Linked DNA regions of Astyanax mexicanus. The main gene of each other region encodes a partner of the protein of the gene in region 2 in a complex. Links are inferred from orthologs where the notes say so. Each region holds a gene or a part of one and is shown on either strand. Other genes may lie near its edges.

The links.
Region 1: the proteins of protein diaphanous homolog 1 (region 2) and ppfia3 are in contact, whole or in part, in a crystal structure (PDB 4UWX), measured with the Mus musculus proteins. The link is inferred for Astyanax mexicanus from reciprocal best matches to the Homo sapiens genes DIAPH1 and PPFIA3. Residues at the interface, in NP_031884.1 of Mus musculus: Lys252, Ser255, Ala256, Ile259, Gln307, Asn310, Ala311, Thr314, Pro315, Ala316, Glu317, Arg322, Gln352, Cys354, Val355, Glu358, Gln359, Glu362; in NP_084017.2 of Mus musculus: Pro719, Arg720, Arg723, Leu724, Arg726, Met727, Ala728, Ala730, Leu731.

Annotation. Positions count from the first base shown.
Region 1 is NC_064426.1:17,738,168-17,745,905, reverse strand, and holds the start of ppfia3 (liprin-alpha-3), read left to right. Parts: upstream 1-4,661; 5' UTR 4,662-4,836; intron 4,837-7,738. UniProt on the Homo sapiens protein: May regulate the disassembly of focal adhesions. May localize receptor-like tyrosine phosphatases type 2A at specific sites on the plasma membrane, possibly regulating their interaction with the extracellular environment and their association with substrates.
Region 2 is NC_064409.1:66,225,446-66,233,086, forward strand, and holds the start of protein diaphanous homolog 1, read left to right. Parts: upstream 1-4,545; 5' UTR 4,546-5,248; coding exon 5,249-5,359; intron 5,360-7,641. UniProt on the Homo sapiens protein: Actin nucleation and elongation factor required for the assembly of F-actin structures, such as actin cables and stress fibers. Binds to the barbed end of the actin filament and slows down actin polymerization and depolymerization.

The DNA of each region.
Region 1 (7,738 bases), on a different chromosome or scaffold from region 2:
AGAGCTTTTTTTATAAATTGTTTGTTTGATCTTCTGACTAGTTTATAAAAATATATGAAAAATATAGTTATAGCTCCTGCTTGATGTATATGTTGTATCATGTTGGATACATTCAGTGGACAAATCTGCCTGTAATTTTACAGATAAACTACAGATAAAATCATAATCATATGCAGAATACCTGTATTTAATTTTATTTTGTTATTTATGTAATAATTGTAATTTATTTAATGTATTGTACATTGTTATGTATTAATTATGTAATAATTACAAGTATTTATAATTGTTTTCTTCATTATTAATGATTGTTTATTTATATCAAACTCACTCATGCATCACATAAAATACACTTGCTTTTAAAGTCTAACACATAGATGATTATGTTTCAATTCTACTTTAATTCTACCAATAAAGTGCGGAGCTACTTTGACATGATAATGGTGTAAAAGTAGTGATTTCTTTGCGTGGACAGCACTATGCCCCTATCACTAGCATTGTAAGCCTGTTCGAATCATTGGCTAAAAGCTCTGTATTTCAATATGCTGGCAGTGAATGGAGGTAAACAAAATGTTTACTCATTATCATGTTTCAGTACACCCCAAGTCCATTTCACACCAGATTTCTCCTTTAAATTGGGTTCAGGCTCAAACAAAACATACACGGGCTCAGGTAGGGTCGGCCCAATCTAAGCTTTGGTTTGGTAATGTTGAGCAATGTAGCCTGAGACCAGGTCAGCCTACAGGGCTGTACAGAAATCCCAATCCTGTTTCAGTGGTACTGAGGAACAAATTACTGCACTATTTTACTTCCCTGCTAAAAAAAAGTCAGAATAACATCAGCTTCATCTACCTGGTTTTATTTAAGCTGGTCCTTAATGGTCAAGGTTTCAAGGTTCAAAAGCTGCTCACCCAGAGCAAAACATACCCTTACACTGGAAATTGAGCAAGCTGAACAGCTTAGCTCTTCAACAGAACATCATATGATTTTATTTAGTTGATGGTAAGCTTAGTGTGAATGAGGTGGTTGACCAAATTGACAATGCTGCTTATTATGATGGAGAAGCATGGTAAACAGCTGCTTCTCAAAGTAAACTTGCTTATATCACTTAACTACACTAAGGAAACGTGTTGAATTGGGCAGCTGTAAGATACTGCAGTCCAGTAAGACTATGTTGTTAAGATTGCTAAGAGGGAGTGGGTCAAATACTGATATTGCTTTCAATTGCATTTTGTTTTCAAATGTTTTTTATTTTGTAGAATTTTTCTAATGCCAATATAAACTAATCATAAATGCATCAATAGATCAATGTTGCCGTAAAAAATATCCACTATTTGACCAGCCACTATTCAGTCCTTCTGGTGTGCCCGACGGGCCATAGCTATGTGTGATTGATTGGATTGTTGATCTTTTTATTCTTTTACAATAAAGAATTCCCACCAAGATGGAAAGCACAGAATGTCTTTCTCTCAGTGGCTGCATGCACATGCAGGTACATATAGAACAGTTGTGGGGATGAGGAGGCAGGGCTTAAAGAGGTGTGTTTAAACCTGAAAAAACCCATACACAGACTTTAAAAGGAAATGCTGACATAAAATCAATGTGACATCCTGGCCGGACGCATGTTTAGATCCAAGAAGGAGGACTTATGGTCACCCTAATTTAAAACAATGACAAAACAGCAGCACTAGGCTGGACCACCTGCTTTGACCCCTGGCCCTGACCTTTTTCTGACCCCAGTGAGAGTCAGGAAAAGAAAGAAGGGGGGAGGGGTGTCCCAGTGTCTCTGGGAAGGGGCTTCCCCCGTCCCGCATGCTGGCACCAGGCTGGGAGGTGATGCTGAAGCTCCAAAAGAGCCCCGACTGCCGTGCCTGCTGCCTCTGTTGCCATGGAAACCGGCAGCCTGGAGATGCTGAGAGAATCAGCTGCGTAGACGGAGAGCCAGCCGGTTAGTTAACAGGGCTGATAGAAAGAACCACACCACATTAATGCAGTGTGTGTGTATTCGTGTGTTTGTGTGTGTGTGTGTGTTTGAGAAAGCGAGAGAGAGAGAGCACGCGAGAGAGAGAGACAGAGAGAGAGAGAGAGAGAGAGAGAGAGAGAGAGAGAGACGAAAAAGGGGCACAATGCTGTTTCCTTTCAAACAAATCCTAAAAAAGACACCAAATGAGCAATATCTGACCTAAACACACACACGCGCGCACACACACATACCTCTGTCCTCGCACGGCCCCTCACGTGCATCTTCAGATCCCCCCCCCTCCTCCTTCCTCCCCCATTTCTTGTGCCTGGGGATGACATCATTCTCTAAAACCACATTACGTCATCCATTTTCAGGACGCTTCTCGCGCTACCCCACCCTATTGCACCCCTTTCTACACACACGCGCGCAGGCGCGCGCGCACCCGTACTTATTCACTCTCGCTTTTCACTTCCATTGGCTCGTTATCGGCACGCTGTCCCCGCCTCTTCTTCGCTCCTCATTGGCTCAGAGGTCCCCTGTGGCTCATGCTGATTGGCTCGTTCCTGTCTGCTGCTCGCGGGCCGTTTGGTTTCCAATGACGTCACGTAGTGAGATTCCCATTATCAATATGCAGAAAATAGAAAAAAATGCAGAAAATAGATTTGCAATGAAAAATAGTGTGTGTGTTTGGGGGGGGCGAACACACAAACACATAAAATACTGAAGAGGAAACCGTACATGACACATTAAACACACATATTAAGCACAAATATTAAATTATTATAAATACAATAATTAAATAATTATTTATTATTGAATTATAATAATTTGGACATTATTATAAATTATATTATATGAATATTATATTCATTAGATCTTTTTACTTTGTAAATTAAATTACAAAAATAATTTTGGCTTAAAATGAATTAAAAGTGTGTGTGTGTGTGTGTGTGTGTGGGCACATGTGTGTGTATGTATGTATACTAAGTGTGTCGTGTGCATGTGTAAACGGTTTATGTATATGAATAATGTGTGTTTTTTAAGAAAGTTGAAGTGTGTATATGCAGTTTAAGTGTGTTTTTGTGCCTTTATGAACATTGTATACAATGTTTGTGTAGGGAGGGGGTGAGATGTGTGTATGTGTAATAATAATGGCAGGTATCTGGGAGCACATCTGAATTTTAATCTGAAAGTATCTCAGACTGTCTTCATTGACGTTACAGCTCAAAAGCAGAGTGAATTTTCCCCCTGGAAAACCCAATTTGTTTAATGTAACGTTTACACAGCAAAAGTTCAGTTCATGAGCAAGTTCAAGTTTCACAACAATTCAGCTGCTCCATGTAACGAACAGAAAAGGTGTGATACAGCTTGTGCAGATGGTCTATTCAGTTTGTATCTGTTTTAAATGATACAGCAGAATACTGTAAAAACTCATTTCTGGGGGACAAATGTGCCAATATTAGCACAAGGAAAACGAACTGTTGAAATTAGAAACAGGAGGTGGAAAGAGAGTTTGGATAAAAAAATAGGCGGAGGAGAAGCTACACATCATAATTTAACCAGTCTAGAACGGTTGTGGCCTTACTTTCAAGAGACATTGTGCTGTAATTGCTGTATCTTAAAATAACTCAAAATACAAATTTATAGCTATGCTATATGAAACCCGGGGTGCCCACTTCAATTGGAAAGTGGATTGGTTTAAAAGTTACATTAGTTGCTTATATATATGTTTTGCAATGGTGGTAAAACTGTGGTAAAACTGTGAAAATCAAATAATAGCAAACATTTTACAGCATCACAGTATGTGATATTTATCGTTATTAATTAAAACTAATAAACACTTAAAGGGATAAAAAAACAGAGTTTCTTTAGTTGAACAAAAGCTTTGGTTTAATTGATTGAAAAGTGTGTAAAATGTCTCCCTTTTCATTATGGATACATTTTCTGATTTATAAATTTATTTAATTATTTAGACTATTTGCATATATCAAAGACACACATAAGGATAGTTCTGGAGAAGTTTTAACAAACACAGTGAAGTAAAACACTACTTTTTGTATGAATGTTATTTAGGCTCAGATAAGGAGCTTTAAATAAGCTATAATTTTTGTAAAGGTTTTTTTATACAAGATGTGTGCAGGCCGTGTATGTAGTTTGTGCCTGCGCTTGTGCGTGCGCGCTCCCGCGAGGTGGCGCGCATGAGCGTGCTCGGGCTCCGGTTGTCCGTGGTAACGGCGCTGATGTTGTTTATAGATGTGTATGAAGGTGGGGGGATGCAGGTTCAACCACACACACACACACACACACACACACACACGCACACACACATACGCACACAAACACACACACACATACACAAACACACTCTCTCTCTCTCTCTCTCTCTCTCTCTCTCTCTCTCTCTCTCTCGTGCACACACACACCTGTCATAACCATGGGCAATGAGGTGTGTGTTAAAGGTGATGGCTGAGGTTTCTTTTATGTAAGTTACTAGACTGGGTGCGTATATATTCATATGTATGTATATATGTATGTATATATGTATTAATATATGTATATATTTATGCATATATGTATATACGTTTATGTATGTAAGTGCACGCGCGCGCGCGTGTGTAGTCTGCGTGTGCGCGCATGCGCGTTCCTATAGAAGAGGCAGGGTTTCTTTAAGACCGCGCGCGCACCTTTTTATTGCATGGGGAGAGAGGGCGAGAGAGAGGGGTAGAGAGAGGTTGAGTGTGTGAAGTGTAGAGCTGAGAGAGCGAGAGAGAGAGAGGAGAGAACGACAAACCGGAGGAGAATAACGACGAACTGGTTCGTCGCTCCGGTTTTCACGATGACCTGCAGAGATTCTGGACCGTGAGCGGGGTGAGCGCGTGCGTGCTGTATTTTGCAGCTTTTTTTGCAGCGTGTGCGTGCGTGCGTTTGTCGCCCAGCTGTGAGGCTGTATGTATGGATGGATGGGATGGATGGATGGATGGATGGATGGATGGGAGGAAGGAGTGGGGGTGGGGGGTATATATAGCTAAGGAGTGGGGGAAAAGGGTCTGAATGGGGCTCGTGCATGGATATTCATCGATACAGTAGCTGAAATTGGCATTATATCTTTATTATATATATTGTTTTGCAATGCATGTGCACTGGCTTCGTTGATTCTGCGCGAACACGAGCACGTCATACACACACGTATATATACATAGTGTTTATAACATTGCACATTATGTCAGCTTTCCAATTGCATTGGAAACATGATGCTGATGCTCATTATTGCACAAACACAAACCAAACACCCATCTGTGAATGTTTTAATCATATATATATATATATATATATATATATATATATATATATATATATATATATATATATATATATATATATATATATGTAATGCTTCCCAATCCCCTCCCTGTCTTCAGTTTTCAGCCATAGCTCTCCACACACCACACACACACACACACACAACACATACACTCTCACACATCATCATACAAACATACACACTCAGCCTCACCGTGCCTTTCTCTCTCCTGCGCCTCCATTATTATTAGCCTCATGACTAACAGCTCAGCTCTGCACAGGAGAGAGCAGCTACAGCCTTACATCACACAAATCACTCACATATCTGCCTGACAGGCCCTTTTTCTACCGAGAAAATGCGTCTGCTATGTAGCTGCAAGTGTTTGCGTGTGTTTTCCTGTGAGTCCGTGTGTTTATATGTTTATATGAGATGAGAATAAAACAAATGGAGCCAAAAAAATAAGAAATAAACTCCAGAGCTGCATGTGTCTATACAGACAGCTGGCAGTAAAAAGGCATTTTTCCAGTAATGGGTTTATGTTGTCTTATTTTGTTTTCTCCTTCTATCTCGATCCTGGTGTAGATATATAGGCTACATATGGTGTTGCATGGTTTGTGGCCTACCGAGACTAGCTTTAAGCCTCAGCCCTAGCTAATGAGTCTGGCTAATCTAGCTAACCTAGCTGTGGGAAGGCACTGCCAGCATTTTTCCAAGCACTGCTAGTTTTCAGCGTGTGTCTTCAGTGTGTCTGTGCCGTCTGATACTTTATGTTAAGATTTTGAGCTTTATTAGGTCAAACAGATAATTCTAATGCTAATTCAACATAAATGAGTGAAAACAAAGAGCCACAAATGAGAAGTAAACAGATGAATGATAAAATAGATCTGCTAATGTTGTATATTGTTAATGTTCATTCATTGTTAGCAACATTGGCCTGTTCAGTCAAGTTGTATCTTTCATTTTCTCACATTTAGATACATCATCCGAGCCTGCATTTTTATGTAGGGCTCACATGGGTGGAACGTGGGTTTCAGGTCAGTTTTAGGTGGGTATGGGCTCTCAGTGGGTTTATACCTGTGTTTTTACTGGGACCCAGTTGGGCTTTCCAAATGGGCACCCTTGTTACAGCCAACCTGTGTGAGCAAACCTCACATGGGTCCCATCTAGACCAACAGTTGTGTAGTGTACAATCTAGATGGGGCCCAAAGAGCCCATCACTGACATCCATATGTGATGTCAACATAGCCCCTTTGGACAGAACTTAATTGTTCCCATGCTGTAAGCCTTGATGAGTCAAATTTAACTAAATTTAAGTAATGTTTACTGAAAACTTGTGTTAGACTAAAAACTTTTAGTTATGTCTAAATTGTAAGTACATTTGATTACATTACATTTTTTTTACATTTATTTATCAATTGCTTTGCATAATAATTCTACTTTGAATGTTATGGTCAGGTGAATAAAATAGAAATAAATTGTATTTAGACTTCTCTCTGATTTAATTTAAGTAAAATACATGTTTAAAATACTAGTAGAAAATTAGATAGAAGATGATAGAAAATGATATAGAGAGAACAGTAGAACAGTACAGCCAACACAGAATCAGCAGCATGCTTGTTCTTACAGCCTACAACATAGGGGCGAAGCAGTTAATCATCATATATGATCTACAAGTTCACCAGAGGTAGCTCGGGGGACAGGGTGTAACTGTACACTGATGAGACACACCCAGTATGCAAATAGTTTGTGCTAAAAGCCAATGGAAAAGAAACTGCCAATGGCAATAGACTAAACTAAAAAGTTATTATAAGTTGATTAAACTCAAAGATCTCCACAAATGTTTACCTAATGTTTGGAAATATCCAATTTTGCATAAAACAGACAACATGCAGTTGGGCTTCCAGTTCAGACAGTTGGGCCTCCCATAGCTTCCAGAATGAAACATTTGTAAAGTACTCCTGTTGGCTTTTCTTATAATTCTTGAGCAGTATCTTGTCGTAAAACAGTAGTAATTGTCTGTAGTAATTAGGGGTGTCACGATTCTCTAAATCCTCGATTCGATTTCATTTTCGATTTGAGGGTCACGATTCGATTCGATTCTCGATTTTCTTGTTTTTTTTTCTTGTTATTATTTTATGCCTCATAAAATTTAAATAATATATTTATTATTATTATTATTATTATTATTATTATTATTATAAATATTATAAATATTATTATTATTATTTATTAAGATATATATGGTAATGCCATCTAGTGACTTTTTTTGGTAGCAACAGTGTGCACTATTAAAACAAGCAGTTTATCAGAGCTGTGTGTGGATGGCTGGTGAAACTGCTCATTACATGAAGCTGCAGTTCTTCATCCAACCACTAGCAGCAGCAGCACAAGCCCCGCTCTTTTCACTCAGTCACTACTTCAGTACAGCCCAGCCACGGGCTACAGAGCTCAGCCAGTCCGTTTTTACTGTTTCTGTA
Region 2 (7,641 bases):
TTCTACTAAACTTTCAGGGGGGAAGGGAGCAATGGAGCATGCTTAATGGCTATAGGCTTCATAATGGGCCTCATTAAAAATGTCGGACTGCCCTTTGACTGGCCTTATATCAGCAGCAGCGTGCAGTGCATCAATGATCAGCTCTCCTTAAGAGCATTACTGTGGCCTATAGAGTATGGATTTGTGGGTGTGGGTGTGTGTGCCTCATTGTGAGGACCGAATAGCCCCAGGATAAATAATGGTGAGAATCGACGGGTCCCTATAAAAGGAAAACACACGTTTTTAATAATGAATATAAAAGCACGAAGAAGAATCACTCAATCACCTTTTGTGTGGCACACATACGCATTCGACTTCCACCTTTAACAACATTGATGCACATACACACACACACAAACACACTGGTGACCACACATACACACACATTGTACCCAGAGGACGTGGTGCATCCCTAGTTGTGGTGCTATGGGGGGGTTAGTTTGCCTTGCTCAGGGTCACTTCATAGTCATGTTCTGTCAGTTTATGGAATCAAACCAGCAACCTTCAGGTCAGAAGGCTGCTTGTCCAAACTTTGGGGCATGGCTCCACTTTTATATGCAGTTTTTCAAAATTGAAAAATGTACCTAAGTGCAAAGGGTTTCCTTTAAATCCTAAGGTTAGGCTTAAAGTCTGAGCAAAATGTCTTTGAGTATGTCATAGAGCCATGTCTATAGCAGTCAATGAGCTCTCACCAGGAGGTACACTATCTACAGGGGTTGGACAATGAAACTGAAGCTGAAATGAAATTTCAGACAGCATCCTTTTGCATTCACAGTTAATCCTGTTGGATGTGGTTTGTCCTTCTTCTTGGTGGTATGCTGACATTAACCCTGGATACCGTGGCACTTGATACATCACAAAGACTTGCTATCTTGGTCACCCATAATGTTGTGTGCATTGCAATATTTTGAGCAAAACTGTGCTCTTATCCTGCTAATTGAACCTTAACACTCTGCTCTTACTGGTGCAATGTGCAATTAATGAAGATTGGCCACCAGGCTTCTCCAATTTAACCATGAAACCTCCCACACTAAAGTGACAGGTGTTTCAGTTTTATTGTCCAACCCCTGTAAATAGGGCAGATGGGAAGCTCCTTTATGTATTCTTATGGAAACACCCAAAGTCTTGATCAAAAAGAAAAAAAGAGACAAAATAAAACATGAAAACCCCCCTCAGAGACAGGAATTCGAAACATGCATGTATGTGTTTGTATCCACACAAGTGTGTGCATGTGTGTAATAGGTCTATTTTTAAATCGCCTGCCAAAGATCAGCCAACGTGAAGGCTCAATCCTGGTGATGCAGCTACGGTATCATTACTGCCTGCAGAGAAAAGAGTGCACAGAGGCACACCAATGCATCACAGAACATGCCCACACTGTTGCGCATGTGCGCAGATGTGGGTGGATTGAGGGGGGTGAAGGGAAGCGTGTAAATGGAAATGGAAATGAGTGCAGAAGAAATGATAATACTTAATCGCATCAACTGGAAAGAAACCAAAATAAAACTGGGTTGAGTCAGCACATTTTTTTTCACAAGGAGAGAGTGCTATGGACAATATGGTGTTGAATTTGCATGAGCAGAGTGACAGTGGCTGTTTCTCAGCTGTAAAAAAAACGACTGGTTTGCCAGAGATATCTCTTTCTGTCAGGCTTAGGTTTCTGTTGAATGTTAATTCTAGCCTGGACCAAATGAAGTGAACATAAGGCAGACGTCAGCAGGATTTCACCTGCTGTTCTTTAGAGTTTGAAATGAAGTCAAAAGGAACATGATTTGAGTTATGCTTCTGAAAATTATTCTGGTTATATGTTTAGTTTGTAACGGCAACTTGGTTTAAGCTTATGGATGTGTCATGTATGGATGTTGAGAACTAGGTAGAGCAGTCGCAACCATCTGATAGCTTCTCAAGCTCCCAGGAATACTTTTTAAAAAGATCCAGGATCTACTGCATCAGAATACAAACTAATGAGTTTCTGTAGTATGAAACTTTATATACGTTAATATGATAATGATACATGCAATATTAAAACAAAAGTGGATTGCGTGGGGAAACAGTACAATTAAAAGAAGTTTCTAGTACCATCTTGAGCTTCCTGTGGCACATTTGCCCAGATTGTTGCAGCTGGGTCTGTAGATCCTGTAAACTCTTGATAAAAATGAAAAAAGAATTAACTATAAATCTGTTGATAAGGGAAATGCTAGAAACCCCTTGCTGTGTATGGGCAAGCATTATCATGCTATAAAATAAAAGAAGGCAGATGGATGTCCTGCAATTAGAGGCTATACAGATGTACATGTAGTTGTCCTGCACATATTACTGAGCTTTTAGTGTCCCAAACAGAACCTAGATTCATTGTAAAAGATGACATGCTTCCAGTCTGTAGCAGTCCAAGTAGCCTCTGAGAGCATTTTATAGGGCAGTGAGGGAAAAAAATGCTATCCTATGGCAAGACCCAGTGTCTAATCAGGCCAGACCTATAATCATTTACATATCTGCTTGAAACAGAGTTATATGTTGAATTTTGCAGCCTATTTTTGTAAGTGTATGCACACTTAGAAAAGTAAGTACAGATTTGTACTTAAAAGAGTACAAAGCTTGTTGCCAGGGCTGTACCTTATATTGAGGTACAAAAAAGTACCTTCCAGTGAAAGTCCTTTTTTGTACCCATGTTTTTATGCCAGTAAAGATTATAAAGATTATAAACATTATCATCAACTAAATATGTGTCTTCATGATGCAAAAGTGTCTGGCTCTCAAATAAAAAAGTGTGCAAATAAAATATATATTGTTTATTAGTACAGTGGTACAGAATACTGAATGTACCCTTTGACTGGTTAAATGGTACAAATTTGTACTTATTGCTGTTAGAAATTACTTTGTACTTCAGAGGGAACAAATCTGACCCTGTAAAGACCAATATTGTACATTTGAGGGTACAATTATGAACAGTGTACCTTTGAGTAAAAAAAAAAATACTCCTTTCATACCTCTGTTTTTTTAAAGTGTGTAAATTATTAACTATAATTGTCTCCAACACTACTATAATAAACACATCATGAGTTATAATGCATCATTTATAAGTTACAGGAAAAGTAAATATCAACAAAAATGTAAAAAACAAACAAACAAAAAAACTAAAAACAAATCAAATATAATATAATGGCTGTAAACCACTTTCTTAAATGCCAGTTCTGGGAAGCTTCACATTTTAAGCATCCTCTGTTTTAGCACATCTGTTCAGGCTCATAAGGTAAATACCAAGTCCTTTATAAGGGGAATGGACTGTGTGTTTAGAGATCCAGGAGATGTAAGTAATAGGGTAGAGATTTATTGTTCTGTACGATGGTTTGGGGTATTCAACAAGATGGATTTCACAGTTTCTTCTAATTTCTATCATAAGTTTTTTTTTGCTTTGCTGCTGATTTTAAGATTTAAGAGGATCTACAAGTTAAGTTGTATTAATATAAATGAGTATACATAAGTATAAAATTGATGACAAAAAAAAGAGACAAAAGATAAAATGAGCAGAAACAAATATGGTTTACGAATAAAATTCCAAAGAGCCGAATTGATTAAAGAAAATAAATGCAATAAATGTCTAGTGAACAGTTTGAAATCTAAAAATGATGAGTTCCTTTGATTTTACCTAATTGAAAACCATCATAACCATCAAACAACGCTGAACTGCTTTTTTTTGCACCAGGAATGGCATAAAGTTATCCAAAAGCAGTGTGTAAGACTGGTGGAGAAGAACATGCCAATATGCATGAAAAAATGTGATTAATAACCAAGGTTATTCCACCAAATGTTGATTTCTGAACTCTTTCAACTTTATGAATATGAACTATTTTCTTTGCTTTATTTGAGGTCTGGAAGCTCTGCATCTTTTTTTTTGTTATTTTAGACATTTATCATGTTCTGCACATAAATGCGCTAAATGACAATATTTGTATTTGGAATTTGGGCAAAATGTTGTCAGTAGTACTCCTTAAACTTAAGTAATCTGGGTATCTGAGAATCCATGCTTTGTGTTACAGTCTAACACTTGTTGGCTTTTTTTGCGTGATGAAAGCCCGGCCTTTATAGCTGAGATTGAACATGCTGCTCCTAATCTTCACACATGGTGGAGCTGTTGGGTAACAGAAAAGAAAATCACAATATATTTTTTTTGCCTACAATAACTGTTGTGAACATATTTTAATAAAAAAAAGTGAAAAATGTATCAACCCTTCATAATTTTATTTAGAAACAAAACTTTAGGCACTTCACAGTCTTTAGTTCAGATAGTGGGCAGTTTAAAGAGCAATATATATGTAGGCTACAGACTGCCTGTAAATAACTGTGTTATTTTGAATTATTTATGGAGCATTCATTGAAATATTCTTTTTTTTATTTTGTAGTATTATTTTGTTTTTAGAAAAGTGAAAAGCACAGTGCACGCGCAGTGCTATCTCAGGTGAGGCCCTCGTGCGTAACCCCGCCCTCGCGCTGCTAACCTGCGTGCCTGAGAGCGAGGCAGGAAGCGACGAGGAGCCGCGCGAGAGCTTCTGTTGTTCTTTAGTAAACACGAGCGAAAGAGCTGGGAGAATTTAGCTAGTATGGGAATAAAGTTGGGAAATGTGCTTGTCGGGATGTTCGTCGAGGGAAACCACGCGGCGCTGGATGTTTCTGTGAGGGGGTGGTGAAGTTTTTTGAGGGTTTGTTGAAGGTTAGCAGAAGGTTGAGGGCGGTAGTTGTTAGCTAAGTACACACGAGTAGTCAACGTTACGTTAGCCAAACTTGAGTTAACACGTTAATAAGACGGTTAAAGTGCGTGTTTTTTGCGTTATTTCCACTTTAAACGGACTTTAGTGGAAGTAAACTTGTAGTAAGTCACTGATAGGAAGAGATTTAGGTGCTTTTAAGAGGGGGCTCCTATTCAAATCTCCCTCCCTTTTCCCTCCTTTATGTGGGGACTGCCTGTGTGACTGAGGGCTCTCTGGGTTCTCAGCCTCTTTCTTTCAGGCCGCGGGGATTTATTTAGCGAACTAACGTACTTTTTGTAGCAGTCTGGAGGAAGCAGAGGATAATTTCTGAGTTACAGTAGCTAACTCAGCTTTGTTAGTTAGCTACAGTTCACCGTCAAGAAAAGCGTGTAAAAAAAGCTCCACAGCGCCGGAGAACTGGATACTGCCTTCATTGTTTTCAATCAGTTTGGATTAGATTCACCATGGATCCTCCAAACTCTGGGAACTCAGCGTCCTCTGGTGCTTCTTCAAAAAGCACCAAAGAGAAGAAACCCAAGAAAACCTACGACGAGGGAAATGAGAAGAAGAAATTTGTGAGTATTTTGAGTTGGGTTAAAGTTACTCAAGCTGTAGCTGGCGGAATAACTAACTATAAACGAGCTACATGTCCCGCAGGTTTTCTCTCATTGCTGTCACATCACAGAAGCACTCACTGAATCACACCATGTACTGTCAAGTGTACTGTCATGAAGTGCTGAAGTGCTAAAGTGCTAGAAGGCTCTAAGAAGTGATTATGCAAAGCTAGCTAGCAGCTACACTCATCCAAACACTCCTGTTCCCATCAAACTTAGCTAGTTAGCTAGCTGTCTAATTTAATTCAAATGTAGTTTACTAGAAAACAAAAGAGAAGAGGAGGCAGCAGGCAGGCGTTTTTCTGAGCCATGCGAATCAAGCCTAGAGTAGTCTGTGCTTTTTCTGAGTTTAAGAGACAATCTACGTGCCCTGCCTTCGCTAATGATGAGGAAGTAACAGCAGTGTGTAAAGTGTGTGTGTGTGTGTGTGTGTGTGTGTGTGTGTGTGTGTGTATGTGTGTGTGTAAAATATAGGACGCCAGTGGAGGGGGTTTGGGTTTTACTCTAACAGACCATGTGGACTGTAACACTTTATGGGACATGTGTTGAGACAAGTTTCCCAGACAGGGGAAACTAAGTTTTAGCCAAGTCTTGTACTATATAGCATTTTAGCATTTCAAATAAATACTATATATTTAAAGGAAACATTTTGTCTACAACTAGGCTTAATCCCTGTCTAAGAAACCAACCCCATATGTCAAAAAAAAGTTGTGCACCCTTTTTACATTTAGATTACATTTAAGGCATTTGTCTGATGCTCTTTTCCAGAGTGGCTTACAAGGTTATTTCTATTACAGAGTTGGGCCAATTTAGTGTTAGGACTCTTATTGAACCCCAGCCTCCCACTTGGTAGACCATCAGCAGGTGGTTGTGTTATCCACTGTACCACACAAACCACTGTCAGTTCTAAATTTGCTAAAAGTTGAATACAAATCTACGTTTTTAGTGGTTTTGAGCACTGAATACACTATGTATAAATCTATGACTAGTATTAATCCCTGTCTGGGAAGTTTGTGGACCCCTTTCTATAACTAATGCAGAAATCCAGCTCTATAATTTTAAATCAGTTGCTGGGAAATATGTCCAAGTGCATGCACATAGCTTGTGCAGGACTCTCTGGAGCAGATAAATAAACATGAACCTATTGGCACTGTGCCTAATGCCAGGCATGGCACAGAGGGCAGTAAAGCCCCCAGCATTGAGCTGTGGAGTGGTGCAACTGTGTTCTCTGGAAGGTTGGTGCTTTTGGGAAGAGTTGGGGAGTTGAGAATAAGAGGTGAAGAGGTGATCATCCTCCTAACACACTGACCTCACTAATGCTCTTGTCATGCTCTAGCAATGCTCCAGAATTTAGTAGAAGGCCTTTGCTAGGCATTAGAAATAGATGCTCCAACAAAAGCAGCAATAACTCTTCTTAATGCAAAATGTCTTTTTAAGACACTTGATTTTACAAGAAGCTAAAAACAAACAGATTATACAAAATGTCTGTACCGAATGTACGTACATTATTGTACCTAATGTAAATAATTAAATTTCTTCTCAGACTTAAATGTGGTCAGTTTGATTCGGTTATTTAATGCTTAACATGTTTAAATGCAAGTCATGGATGGCATGGGAGTGTTAATGCCTGCCTGAACAGATCTCATTTTAAAATCAGATCTGCCACTGGTAGCCTCAAAGGCTGTCACTTGGCACACAGACTAGTTCAGCCAGTGTGGGCTGGACCTGTGTGTCTCAGCCAGCTGTAAAGCTTCCTGAGACTGTGTTTGTGGTTACTACTGGAAAAGGGAACTCTGTTACGTCATAGTCTGGGAAAAGTGAGTCAAGCCAGGCAGTTCAGCCTTGCTGGATGACAGCGCTCAGCGTGTTATCCTATCTCCCAGTCTTTTCATCTTAAGAAAACTGATATTCACCCTCCTAATGTTACCATAGATTCGTAAACACACCTGGTGTTTGTTATCCCTTTATAGTGATACCCATCCGCTGTCTCCCGGAGAGCTTGCAGACAATAGACGTGGTGCATCTTTATCTTTGCCTGCTTCTTCAGGCCTGCAAGGGATGCAGGATGAATAAAATACATTAATACACACAAACATATGTGTTCAGTGAAACTCATATGTTACTTTTTTGAGGGTACTCTAATTAAAACAGAACCACTTTACAGAAAACATTTTATAGCACGGCTTGTAAAGGTTCCTGGAAAGTTGGTCTGTAACATTCCAGAAATAATGTTTCATGTTATG